Lytechinus pictus: one gene and its partner. The protein of the gene in region 1 interacts with the protein of each later gene in a pairwise test. Links are inferred from orthologs where the notes say so. Each region holds a gene or a part of one and is shown on either strand. Other genes may lie near its edges.

What was found. The genes of interacting proteins can lie anywhere in the genome.
Region 2: the proteins of cyclin-dependent kinase 14-like (region 1) and cyclin-Y-like protein 1 interact in a two-hybrid assay, tested with the Drosophila melanogaster proteins (2 studies listed by BioGRID). The link is inferred for Lytechinus pictus from reciprocal best matches to the Drosophila melanogaster genes Eip63E and CycY.

Annotation. Positions count from the first base shown.
Region 1 is NC_087245.1:10,467,399-10,474,943, forward strand, and holds the start of cyclin-dependent kinase 14-like, read right to left. Parts: upstream 3,027-7,545; 5' UTR 2,167-3,026; coding exon 2,032-2,166; intron 1-2,031.
Region 2 is NC_087245.1:33,479,774-33,487,005, forward strand, and holds the start of cyclin-Y-like protein 1, read left to right. Parts: upstream 1-4,211; 5' UTR 4,212-4,529; intron 4,530-6,666; 5' UTR 6,667-6,697; coding exon 6,698-6,872; intron 6,873-7,232. Other genes in the region: zinc finger and BTB domain-containing protein 24-like, read right to left, coding at 355-2,445.

The sequences.
Region 1 (7,545 bases):
ATGTTATAAGGAAATGATGACCTCCAGTCTCATGTTGACAAGGCAGTATGAATCTCAAACTCTGACATTTACTTGTCATGTAACAATCATCCATCATCATACCATGTCTTATTCATTGAAACTTCAGAATCTTTGCCAAGGAATGTTAAGCCTTGCTGATCAATTGATCATCTCTGTTAGTACATATTTGTCTTTATCATTTCATTGCCATTAACATTCAATTTCCTCCTGAAAACTTTTCACTCATAATTCTGACATTTTATCACTGATGATTAAGATCTGTAATAAATGAAAATTCAAACTGATGCACTATCATGATGCTAAGAAGATGAAAGGGTTAAAAGACGCAGCCACTATACTTTCAAAGGAAAAATAATAACATTTGTTAATAATGTTTTAATTCAAGATATATATTGGTTCACATGAATTCAAGTTGAAATAAAATACTTGGAATGAAAATGGAGGAAGATGAAAAAAAGTAAGACTGATTATGTTATTGAAGATTATAGAGAAATAGAAAGCATCATGTAAATGCCAAGGTAAAAATATCTATCAAGAATGAAAATAAAAGTCAAGGTTTAGGCTCATATTGAGCTTTCCTGGGTTTGTCATAATGTCTTTCTGATATAACATAGAGAACAATCCTTGACATTTATGAATAATGAGCATTTAATATTATCGAACAATGTTTTTGACGAAATTTCCAAGTGATATGTTAGGATCACAATAAATCATAATATTCCTTGACAAACATCCAATTATTACTTTGTAGAGCTGTGAATTAAATCTTAAGTGGAAGTCAAACTTAATTAGCAATTACCTCCTTAATAAGTTTCAACAAAAATCATTCCCAGAAGTGCTGTTACTCCATCTCAAGCGGATGGCATCATCTATGTCTATTGGGAGTATTTGACATGAGTTTTCCTGTTTTTCAAAACAGTCAATCATAACTTAAAGCATCAAGCACACCTTGAGAGAACAATGTTAATACCTCCTTCACCATGTTAATAAAATGTTTTACTTTTAAATTTCAAGATAATTTGAATTATGCATTTTGAACTCTAAGTCAATGGGCACACAATCATTTCATCATTCATCACTATCTCCATCAGTGGACAAGGAAACAAGATACTAAATGGATTCCTTGATTACATTGTAATCTACTAAACAAATACATGTTGCTATGGATCCCATAGAGATGGGGGATGCTGTCCATTAAGGGGAATGGGATGTGGAGAAACAGGGGAGGGTATAATTAACTATTTATAGATCATGAGAAAGATGTAATGAAAGGATTGATCATTGAAAGAAATACCAATAGAAGAGAATGCTGAAATCAATTATTTCAAGTAGATGAAGATAGAAATTAAAGATGAAGACATGGTGATATGCTTACATGTTCATGAAGCATGTATTTATATGATATGGAAAGCCAATAAGTGGCACTATGAAACTTCAACATGTGAATAGTATAAACCAGTCAGTCATTTGATTTATTTTTATAACCTAAGGAATTATTTTCAAATCTCAAAGGATTTAATTAAAAGAATTTAGTATTCAATTCAATATTGTTCAGCTGGTAAATCTTCACTGGATCTATTTAAGATAGAAATTTATTTTGTAATGTAAAACAAAATTATGAATGCAGGTTCTTACGACCCCAAAAAACTTATTGTACACTCTAAATTTCAAGGGGTTGAAATAAAGACAGATTAGAGACCACTTAAAAGATTTGAATGAAATCTTTTGAGATACAAAATTAATACTCAAGATTTAAAAATCCAATATTTTGCTGGACCCTATTCACAGCTAATCTGAATTTATTTAAATCCTTAAAACTTACAAATCACACCACCAATGAGGAGAATTTATCAATATACCATGCAAGGAAGATGAAGAGGGTAGATCTATACACACTATTAGCAGATAATCTGCATCTTAAACACATAAGCAACAAGATTACAATGACTTAAAAACTTAAAAAATCAGGTATGAATGAAATAGGTAGAGCTACAGATTGATATGACATACCTTACAGTAGGGCAATTTGCCAAGATGTTTGTGATTACACGTAGGTCCATCTATCTGGACTGGAAGAGGTTTAATAAACCTGCCTCGTCTGGTAGACTTGGGCATCGTCAAGATTGTCGGGATAAGGATTGGCATGGTGATTATAGAAAAGCCTCAAAACTCCAAGAAAATTGATAAAAGTAACAGATCCTCAATCAAGAAATCTTTTCCTTTTGATTGGCAGTCTACACCTAAATCACAAAGAGCTGACCATTGAGTTGCTAAGAGCAGAAAAGTTGTATGTTCCACCAGTCAGGGATGTGTAGCAGACTGATAAGGTCTGCAGGAGAGTTGATGACTATATACTCAAACAAGATCAACCGCCAAAACGAGCGTGCTGTACAAACGACTTCCTCTTGGGCTGTCCTGGTGCAAGAGTTGTGATTGGTTAATGTTGGCGTGTCTAAATCATGTTTGGTTTCAAAACTGGTTCCTGTAGTCTTTACCTACGAAACACCAGGTGATCGGAGACTTCCTATCTCTTTCACAAAAAGAAGGTTACTACAGAACATTAAGTCTGTGGCAGGAGACAAGACTATTTATCTCTTATATGTGCAATATCATTTTTAAAACTATACAGAAGAGTCTGTCAAATTTTCACCCATATATTGCACAATTGTCCATAATCAATATCTATCAATCCAATTGGTAAGATCATGTTTACAGCCAACCTATCAAAATATCTGTCTTCTCATACATATTCACAGGGAGAAGGCTTGTTGGACCAATGAGGTTTCTCAATCCCTGAGAAAAGTTCTATGACATCACAGCATTATCCAATCAAATCACTCCACATGAATAATGCATGCTTCCTTCATTCATTGTGACATGCACTGCATCAGTCTACATGAATAGTCACCTGATGAATATTCATGATCTTCTCACAGGAAATCCAGTGGTAGGAGAGGAAGGAACATGGTACTGACCTCCCCAAAACGACAGTTACACGTTGGAGTAGTCCACATTTAAACCAAAACAATTTTCAAACTATTACAGGACGGCAGATCTATAAAAAGCTCTTACAAAAACAATCGGTATTTAGCAATACATGCCGAGTCTAGATCAAACAGGTGACAGAACCTTGACGTATAGGAGATGTTGCACAATGTATGGTCAATTTATCATTTTCCATTTTGAAAAGTAAAAACACCATTCAGGAAACAATTTATTATTGTATCAGCTGTTGTCATGGTAAAGGGTAGATCAACAATAACTAAACTGACACATTAATTGTAAGCCAGTGTCACATTAAATATATGCAAGAATAAGAGACGAAATTGGACTTGACACAGTTTTCAAAGTGCATAAAATATTGGCCCAACATCCACCTTTAACCTCTTCACATAATATCAGCTTTAGACATGTCAGTAATCTTCTGTAAGTGCTACATAATATGTTACATGTTATAGAGTATGTTATGATTGTTATCATACTGGATCATTGAATAACAATTTTCATTTTTAATACACAACTGATGTTTGAAGAAAAAACTGTTTTTAAAAGTTATTCTAATAAATGTACCTGCATTTTGTTTTTTTATTTATTAATTTATTCATTCATTTTTCTGTAATAGGGTGGATAGCCTTAATGGTTCTTCCACAATCTATTTTAAATACATTCAAAGGTTAATGTACATAATCTATTTATGACAATGTAAAATATTTTTTCATAATCATTAATAAACAAATAATCATCAATAATTGTTCCTTGAAAGGGAAAGAATGGTTAAAGTTTGTTTCCTGAGTATTAAAATTTTGCAAATATTAAGACAGTGCACATACCAGGGACCTGTTTTGCAACAATTTAAAAACAAAGCTACAGCTATTGATTGGTTGACAATGGGATAGAATGTTACACATTATTTTTTTGTGTGTTACAGGGTAGGTCATGACAGGTCATTATGCTTTTAGTGTTTCCTATTTCTGCAAGCATAGTGTTGCAATGGAATGAAAGAGTATTGGAGAAGTTTGGGGGTGTTTAAATAGCCAATGATGTAATGTTTTGGTCTGCCAATGGGCCAATCACAGACAGACTTCTAGAGTTGGCCAAATGCCAACAAAGTTTTAGACCACATGCTAGGAAAAGACTGGTCCAGACTTGTATTTTGTAATTATCACATGAAAAAAAATAATTGCATCAAAACAAAATTTGATTTTCTAACCTCACCCAACTAGTAGAAAAATAAAAACACACAAAATATACATCAGATTATTTTGAATATCACAAAGATGTATTAAAGTTTAAGGTTAACACTTAAAAATCAAACAGGAAAGAAAAAAAATAAATTCAACATTCATATTCAAATCAGAAAGAAGGACCCCAAATAGCCCATATAAAAATATGATTTTATGAAACAAACTGATTTTGATTTGTATGGATCGACTGAACACACAATCTGTAAAATCTAAATACATGTATCTTCATAAAATTTAATGATTGATTTGAATATTTTCACATCCTGCTAAACTACTATGCTATATTATCCATTCATTATCAGTCAAATTTACTAACATTTTACATTAGATTCTGAAATGTAACTCAAACAACTAAACACAGCCATGCATGCTCACATCTAAGTACTATCTTAATAGCATGCCCTACATGGCAACTTATATCTACCAATGTTTGGTTTTATACAAACAGATGGTCACATCAGAAAAACCCAAAACAAACATTTCTCCAGGCTCAATAATCATGATAATGATTGACATAAATTGTGTCATCAAAAGAAATTTTAATTTGGGGACAACTTTTGGATGAAATTTTTTAAGTAATAATATTCTTACAGAAAATTTAATATTGGAGGATCATATCACATGCTGCAATTACTAAATTTACAATTTTACCAAATAATAAAAGGTGTAAAGAATTTCTAAACAATCTTTCAAAACAGTGGGTGAATTCAGACCTGGTTAAAACCTTGTCCTGGGGAAGTACCTCATTGCTCTGATTGCACAAGATATTGGTTAATTTGGTAAGAACAAAAAGCGTATGGGGATATAAAAGGTAATCATAGTTTGACTGTGGTTTGGGTTTTAATCTTTGGGTTATGGGCTGAGTAAGAGAGGCAATCTAGCTCACCATAATGGGGAATGCCCAAATATCATGTTGAAATTATACACGTGGTTGACTACATGTTGTCATCATGTGATTAGTGGGTGATGACAAGTTTCATTTTAACAAAATATGCTAGAGAAATACACTTTCTATGATTATGACGATGAAATTTCATACAGATATCTGTGAAGAAAGGTCGAGTAGGATGATAAATCATGGTAGGTGAGTGGAGTGGGGTGGGAAGGTGATTAAAGTAACACAGCCTTACCACCAAAGGACCAAACAAATTGAATTAAAACAGACAGATTCAAGCAAACATACCCTTAAAGGAGTTCTACAGACATACAGTTAAACCAACCACTCAAGGGGAACACCACAGCAGTGTTTCACAACATGCTGATATGTTGTGTACGGTTAGCCAAAGTGTTAAACAACACAGAAATGTGGTTTTCCATAGTCCCATTTGAAGGTTGTAGTGTTTGAGCATCCCCCAGGAAATTACACCATTTCAATATTCAAGATGTTGGATATATATGTGCCAATAAATCAGTGAGCAAAATATGCAAATTCCCCCATCACAAGACTATTAATGAAAGTTGCATCATATTGGAACTTATTTTTCAATTTTTGTTTTTTTGCTAAAAATATTCCTGATGCCTACCTTGTCACGGCTGAACAGAGAGTTGCATAATCATACTGTTCACTCCCTGTGCATGCCCTAGCCATGTATGGGGCGGCTACTAGTTATATGCAGGGAGTTGCGAAGCCGTACATGCATCTCTCGGATGCGGTGCTCACCCTTGACAATTTTGGCAGGGCTTGGGAACTGAGATGTCTCGTAACAGGAGTATTGCGAGCGGGGCTGTGCAGCTTCTGAACTGAAATTTTGTCATTCGGAGTATCTAGAGAACTGAAAATTAGGTCTGAAAAAGGGGATCATCAATTGGCACGTCCTCGTACCACCAATATATGTGAGTACCCCGGGGGGGCCACTTCCATTGACGAGTGGATACCATGCGCGACCACGGGGTCTTGAAAAGCACCCTAAACATGTATTTTCCATATTCTGAAAATGCACCCCTTAACAAGTATTGGCGTGTGAAACCCTACCCTTAACAAGTATTGGAAACAAATACTATTGGCAAGTATTCCCAGAACTGAGCCCCTAAACAAGTACAGCGATGTATTTTCCATATTCTGAAAATGCACCCCTTAACAAGTATTGGAAACAAAACGATACTCTTAGCAAGTATTCCCTGAAATGAACCCCTAAACAAGTGCAGAGATATTTTGTTATGTCACGCGTCCCTCGGTCGTCGGTTTTACCTTTAGACACCATTATTTTGGTTTAGTACGGCCCCACCTTCCACACCTCGCGCAAATCGGACTCTAAACACGTAGTGTTGGGGCAAAAAGGACATCCTTTATAAAACATTTTGATTTTGTTTTATCATCCCCGCATATTTGACCCTAAACACGTATATTTTTCCGAGCGAAATAGATACCCTTTTTTCAATATTTTTGTGTTTTTGACACCCTTTTCACGTTACGTACGTAACGTGCCCTATCTTGAAAAAGACATCCTTTTTACGTGTTTTTTTGATCGCGCATGGTATCCACTCGTCAATGTAAGTGGCCCCCCCGGGGTGAGTACCACCAATATATGTGAGTGCCCCCCACCCCCCAGGTCACACCCTTCATATAATCATCATCTCCTTCTGTAATGTTGAGCTATTGCTCAGGGCGCATATTCCTCCGCCAACTTCTTTTCTCCTTTGTTCCTCAAATGTGATGTTTATTCTTAATGTAAAGCATATAAAATGACTACTTCTGAATAAATCATCTAATATGTTAAATCATAAGTCATAGATATATAGGTCATAGCAAAAAGGAAATCATGATCTAAACCACTTATTCTAAAACGTTAGTGTTCAGGAAAATTGTGATATCATTTATTGGTGCTGACTAAAGGGAAGCCCTGTGCCCCTGGGTTACCAAGAGGGGTTTACAGGGCACCCCAGGGCAGTCCAGAGGGGTAACATGGCACCCCATCTCTTCCTCTTTAGCTAAAGGTTTGTGAATCACCATTATCTGTCACAGGTATCTCGGAGAGCTATCGAGTGTCTTGCTTATTGTTTTTGTGTTGACTTCCATCAATCTATAACAAGATGCTACATAGAAAATACAAACTGAATGTGCACACCTCAGCTTCACTTTGGAAGATAACGTCAATCAAATCACCATAAAAGAGATAGTTTTTACCATTACCGTTGCCAATGGTAATTACAATTGCTTACTGTAATTCTGATATTTTAATCTAAACCTGTGTGGTGTCCATTACATATTGTTTGACTGATTCTTTGTGACATAGATGAATTTGACCAATTAATTAGATTTTACAAGGTCTCTCTGTAATGT
Region 2 (7,232 bases), about 23 Mb from region 1:
CAAAATACATGTGCACATATGCATGTAATGAGCTTGGAGTCAGAGCAAAAAATTGCAATGTACAAGTCTATGAAGTGTTTTCATGCATCAGAAATATATAAATCATATTCTTGGATTTTATTTCAAATCATTCATTCATCTTATTTTTATCATCTTCTTCCTTTCTTTCATCAAGGTAAGGAGGCTACTGCAGTTTTGAAATATCTCTGTTTCAGCCTTTAACTTCTAATAATGCATAGGTGTTACATGAAAGATGGCAAGCAATAAAATTCATTATTAAGTACTAGCCATTTTTTATTTTCATCAAACAATGAACATGTAGCATATTTTGTTTAATTAAAAAAGTTCACCAGGCTATACATGGGTTGGTTTTGTGTGCTGCCCTCTCACAAAATGTAGCATAAAAGTAACTTTATCAGCACACTGTTCTCCGCACATACTACAACGGAACCTGGACCCTGGCTCATGACATCCCTTATGTATAACATACATCAAACTGTCTTCAAATGTGATACCACAGAATGAACAACGCCACGGCAATCCCTCCTGGTCTCTTTCCCCCATCAAGGAAGTATTGACAAGAGGATTAGGTGGTGGCTGACTGCTCTGGGAAGAGGAAATCTGCATGTTGGGAGATTCACTGCTTACTCTTCCAAGAGAAGGACCACAGTCCTGACCCCTTCTAGGATCATCAACCAGAGGTACAGAGAATCTTGCAGGAACAGTGGGCGGCTCAACTGGTCTTTCCAGTTGAATTGTTCCACTGGATGATGATGCCTCTGCTCCACTTTGGACCAAAGGTTGAACTTTCCTCAGTTGATCATCTCTCTCATTCTGTCTAGTGTGTGTAATCGTATGTGCAGCTGGTTGTTCAGGTCTTCCTTTGTGGGCCTTTTGTTCCTCTCTATTTAAAGAAAAGTCAGGTGGCTGGTCCTGAACACAATCACCATCCGCAGATGGTTCCTCAGATGTTGTTGTGTTACTGTGGACTTGTACAATGTTGACAACTTCACTCCATTCTTCATCGTCCTCAGCTTCTGTCTTAATGGTGATTCTGTTGACAGGACTCTGGCTTCTTTGTTCAGAAGTGCTTTGGCTGCTTGGTGTCTCTTTACTCGTTGGGCTATTTTCAAAGTGAAGATTCCCCATGGAATGTGTCGATTCTGCAGACTGTGCTGCCAGGGACTGTGGAAAATCTATCAAAGAACCCTCTGCACTTGCAGGATATCTATTAACGAAAGCAAAAGGTGCTGGGGGATTTCTCAGGAATGAATCCAGGCTCCTGCTCCGGATGTTAGCTTGTCTTTGAGCAGAGAGGGCCATCAAATGTGCTGCACTATTAGGGGACACTGGAGAAAGACTTCCCGGTGAGTCTACAGGTGGTGACAACATATCCAAACTAGAACTAGCTGAGCAACAAGAGTTCTTCAGATGTCTTTGATACTCTGCCTCATCAGCCAACAGTATCCCACACTTGCACCTCCGAGGGTTCCATTGATACAGTCGACTATGCCCTTTCATATGGCCTTGTAGTGCTCTATTTGTTTGGAACTGCCTGCCACAACGTCTACAACTAACAGGTTTTTCTCCTTCATTTGATGTCGAGGGCAATTGGTTTGGACTCGCTGATGGAAGGTCGATCCTGACAGGTATATTGGGAGGTCTGTGCTTTTTGTAGGTCTTCACCATTGAAGGATGCTCTATGCTAATGTGTTTTTGCATGCTACGGGAGCCACCAATGAAGATTCCACAATGTGGACAGCTTCTACGCTTCTCTGTGTGAATCTTCAGGTGCTCTGTCAAATGCTGAATATCTGAAAACTGAGCGTGACAAAGGGTGCATGTATGTGTCTGAATATCAGCCATTGAGTTTTTGTGGGAGCGCCGATGCCTTTGAAATGATGCCCTTGAGTTGAAGTTGGCTGGGCACTGCGGACAGGCATACGGCTTGGCTCCCATGTGTTTGTTGATATGAAGCATCAGCCTCTGTTGGCTAGAGAACACGCGGTCACACATACTGCACTTGAGAAAGAATCCAGGACTTCTGTTTTCCGATCCTGCAGCATTCAATGACGCTTCACCAGGGCTATCCAAGGACTCAGTTTGCATGAACTCATCATCCTCAATGTCATCGTCATCATCATCCACAAGAACAAACTGCATGTCCACAGTTTCTGTGGTCTCGGACGAGGTCTCTCGAGACAGATTGCTCCCATGTTTTGACAGATCTTGTGGAATTTCAGACTCATCTTGTTTCTTTTTTTCTGCTAGCATTGGATTCTGGGAGTCAAAGTTCACTAGCTGGGTTCCTCTTTCAAGTGGTGGTCTAGCAGAGGCTGAATCTTCACTGCTTTTTGACCTCTGTGACCGATGATGTCCTGGTACTACTAAAGCTGAGCTGGTTTGTGAGGCTGGGTCAGATTTATCTTGCTGAGTGCTTTCCATCTTACATTTGACAAGGACCTGAAATAAAAGGAAATTGAACCAAATAGTTACTACTTGCTTGATTGTGAAAATACCAAACAAACATTGCTTCAATATCATACTTCAAAATTTTAGGAGCTTACAAATGTCAATTATTCTCATGCATTTTGCACAAACATTATTTTGATTCAAACATGAAATAAAATTAAAACAGAGACATAAATTGAAGCCTCACATTATTAAACAGTTTTGGCCATCACTCTAAATACATCTACACTGAAGCCACTTGGACCACACACCTAAGTTTGTTTCTGTGTACGCTATGAGACAAGTCCTAAACTCAGGTATATTTTACATGCAAAACAAACTCAAGAGATAGCTATCAACATTCACAATTCAAGGATTGAAAATTTGGGATACAAATGTTAGAAATTTTGAGCTCCATAACAATACTCCAGTCCCCATGTTTAAGGATTTTTTCTATAAAAAACAACAACCCAGACAGAGCACTTGGAACATCATGTATTTTTGCATGGATTTTGATCCCACAGCTGCCACCAAAATTACATAAGAGATTTATTACTAAATTCTTTAATGAAATTTGATTAAATTTTCAGTGTTTTGTTTGTCTGATTTTTCTTAATCTGTTTAAATCATATTCTCAGCCCGGAGCATCCCTTTAAACAGATTTAGAAAAATCAAACAAAACACTGAAAATTTGATCAATTTGATCAAAATCTGACTAGAAATATCAATGTTATGGCATTTTAAAAATTTGCATTATTCCGGTGAAACAGTTCTAGGCATGTCTTCATGAATATTCAATGAGCAACTTGATGATGTCATATCCCCAATTGTTCTTTGTATTCTATTATATGACATTTGGTTTATTCAACTGAAAAAAATTGGATTGACAACTGATTTAGTGCATTAGATATTCATTATAAAGGAGACACATTATTCACACATGTATGAAAAAATGAAACAATTATGATTTCATGTAATAACATAAGAAAAAGAAAATGGGGATGTTACATCATCAGCCCACCTAATGAATATTCATGATGATCTGATGTGCATTCTGTTTTCATAAATTATTGCTAAACTTTGAAATTCAATAACTTCGTTATTTGTTATCTGATTTTGATGAAATTTTCAGCATCTCTTATTCTCTTCTGAACTTCTTCCTCTGTTAGTTTTGGAGATCAGCAGAGAGATCCTGCACGTAGTAGTCTAATGTTTGTCTTCACAATAGTAGGCCCGGTCTATGTAATAATGTATTGTAATAAGAGTGGTCAGTCAGAGTGTTTAACATTATTTTCATGTAAGGCTTTATACTCACCAAACGTGCCGAATGAGATAAACAAGGGACCAAAACAGAGTTGAATAGACTGTATGTCTATTACTATTAGTATGGTAGTTGGTGCATGGCGAAGCCTCAGGTCAGTCAGGACTCGGGAGCTATGCACTGCAGTGCAGTCTCATCTCACCCAGTCTCAGCTCAGCTTGTCTGAAAATGAACTGCACTAGCCACTATGCACAGATTCCATTTGATTCCATTCAAAATTTTTAAATTGATCTCAATATAGTGCAGACTGTGGGCACTTGTCATGCTTGTCGAATCAAATGTCAAAATGGGCAAGCTATAACAGATATGGGAAAAATAAAGTTGATGACAACTGCCATATTAATACATGGGATGCCTTCACAGTACACAAACTATAGTGGGGCATCCGTGATTGAAGTATATTGCAAATATGATCTATGAGAATATACTACTACACACGTAGTAGTCTATTCTGAATAAAGGGAGGTCAATGGTGGCAGCGCCTTCATCCTGAGCGAATTATGTTAAGTATATACTTTTGCTCATTAACGGAAATTTTCTTGAAAATTGGATTGTATAATTTTTAAAACAGTCAATTATCTTTCAGAGGATGTCAGCAGTATTCTTATCTGGAATTTTGGGTCGACTTGGGGACATCAATTTTTCTTTTACCCCCATAATGGAATGAAACCTTCCTTTCGCAGACGTCAGAGGTCAAAGATTGATGATGACTTCGGGGATCACCGTGTGAATGCCGACTGAACATCAAAGAATTTCGGTAATGTATTGTATTTCTATCTTCAGAACTTATTATTGTCGTATGGTTTTTGTTATTTCAAGCAGTATGTTACTGTTAATTGTAATTTCCATGTTTGTATAATATTGTAAAGCATGATTTATTGTATTGTAACGGAAGCGACACAGACGCGGCCGCGGTCAACTTTTTCTCTGTAGACTGAATCTACGTGCCGGTACGGTCTCCGGAGTCCGGTCCGGGCTGAGCAGGGGAGAGTGTTGGGTGGTGCGCATCATCCAGCAGCATGCATGAAGCCGACGAGTCAAGGGGCAGGCTGCAGCATAGAGAATGCACTGCCCGCGCAGGCTCTGCTCTGCATGGCAGGGGTTGCCGGGCTCAGACTCTGAGTCTGACACAAGATATCATTACTATTAGACAGCTGGCAGCCGTCTGCTTCAAGGCGTTTTTTAAGTTAACATTTTTTATTTTTTCTTATTTCTTCTCGTACACAGACGGCTCGCGACCGTGCAGCCGCCGTTATGGCGTTAGGGGGGTTAAAAAAATAAAAATTCAAAATCCCCCCGACGCCGACGGGGCTCATTGATTTTTGTCTTTATTTCATAACAAGAAATCTAGGAAAGTTCATTCTCCTGTCAAGTGCCGACACCAATCAAGATTTAACTTTTTGAGATGAAAAAAAAAACTCCCCATAAACAAAGACAATCTCAATTTATCAAGACATGAACATGATTTGTCTTGGTTTATGAGGATATCCTGGCTTGTGTTCTGGGACAATCCCAATTTTTGAACCAGTCCCTCTACTGGGGATATGATCCGCAGAGACTTCGTCTAGCTCCACAGTAATAATAATAATAATATGTTCATTTATATAGCGCTCTTACAATATATCATCGTTTCACAGCGCTTTACACAATGATGGAATAGAAAATTATAATAACTTATTATACTAGCAGATAGATGAGCACCTGGCGAAGCCGGTCGGCCAGACCCTCGCCATGACCATACGATTGGATTTTTCGCGAGACCGGGGTACCTCAAAACACCCCAAAATAAAAATATAATGGAAATCATGCACTTAGATCAATTCTTTTGATGTTTGCCCAGAGTCACTATCATCAATAAGTAGTATTCAGGAGCTTGACCCTGAAAAAAGGAAAATAATCTGGTATCTGTTCTCTCTGATTCAAAATTGCACACAAAATGGCAAGCATGTATGAATTCTAACTAAAGTTAGTGATCAAAAGATCTACCCGCGGCAGCTCACCTGTTTTTTTCGCATTCAGTCTATACCGGGGGGGGGGGGGGGGGGGGTACTCGACCAAAAAAGTGGTAGGTACATGTATGTGCCGCGGACGAGACAAAAAACGGGGGCCTTGGAGCGGGCTTATTGTAAAAAGGAGGGTCCTCAGAACAGGTTTCGAAACTACAAATGTTTGTGAAAACGGAGGTCCTTGGAACGGGTCGCCTGCGTGTGAGTGCGTTTGCATCCCTATGGAACAGGCATATACGTGCATGCAGCTAGCCCGGTGGCACGGGCGCAGGGTGCGCTCGCGCAGAGGCGATTGTCGGACAGCACTCTGCGGCCGCTTTTCCACTAAAATTGCAGCTCAGTGTAGCAGATCAATGCGGCCGGCACGGCGTAACGTAAAATATGCTATGCTTTGGAGCGGCTTTCTTTGTTCTTTTTCTCAATAAGACAATAATGCTACGCCTTGGTACGGAAATTTGAGTGTAAAAATGGGGGTCCCCTCCACGGCACATGTACCCATTACGCATTATATACTGAGTTGCCCCCTGGGAGTCCATATCAAAATTATGTTACCTGTGACACTTCTACCAATGTAGGTTTTGAGAAAAGTCTAGCGTATACAGTTTGCTTCTTGTCAACACAGTTCCATTCAGCCCTTGGTACTGGTAAGCTTAGTATTAAGGATGCCTTTCTGTTTTGACTATAATACTGCTCGCATATTGCCAACAGGCTACAAGCTCACTTAAATCCATTGAACCATTTGAAACTTGTCTTCCAATGTTTTATTACAGAGAATGTTTGATAACAAAGGCAAATTGTAGCCAAATAAGTTATGAGTAAGTTTTCAGACAAAGTTCAGATAAATTACAAAGTACAATGTAATCTTTGTTTTCCTTTTCTTTGGAACAGATTTTCTAGTTTGATTCACCTTCTGTGCGTAATGGGGAATAAACATTCATGTGGCTGCATTCAAAGCTGTCACAAGAATCCAACCAGGCGGGCCCACAGGGCTCCTTCTCAAGAAATAGAACGATACGAGCCGACACCTGAAGAAGTAAATGTGGACGAAAGATCAAATCTCCAGCATATTGGTGACAGAGAGACTGGCATAGAAGGTAAACAAGCAACTTGTTTAAATTATAAAAATATAATCCCATACATGTAACTGAACACCATTTATACTCTGAATAAACGGTCAAGGCCAATAAATTAATGCAGTTCGACTTAAACAACAAACTGATTTGATGAATAAAAAAATACCATCGTTGGAATGAGCAGTGGAATAAAGAGCCCAAACTTTTGAGGGGCACAGCATGCTGTATACATGTAAATGTAAAAACAAATTGCAGGTGAGTGGAGAAGGGGGGAAATATTTTGGCATTTTTAAAATGACATGTTTTTGTGAATGTACAAATAATATCAAAGCTCCCCCCCATAGAACTGCCTCCCAATTTGCTCCTCGAGGCCGGATTCAA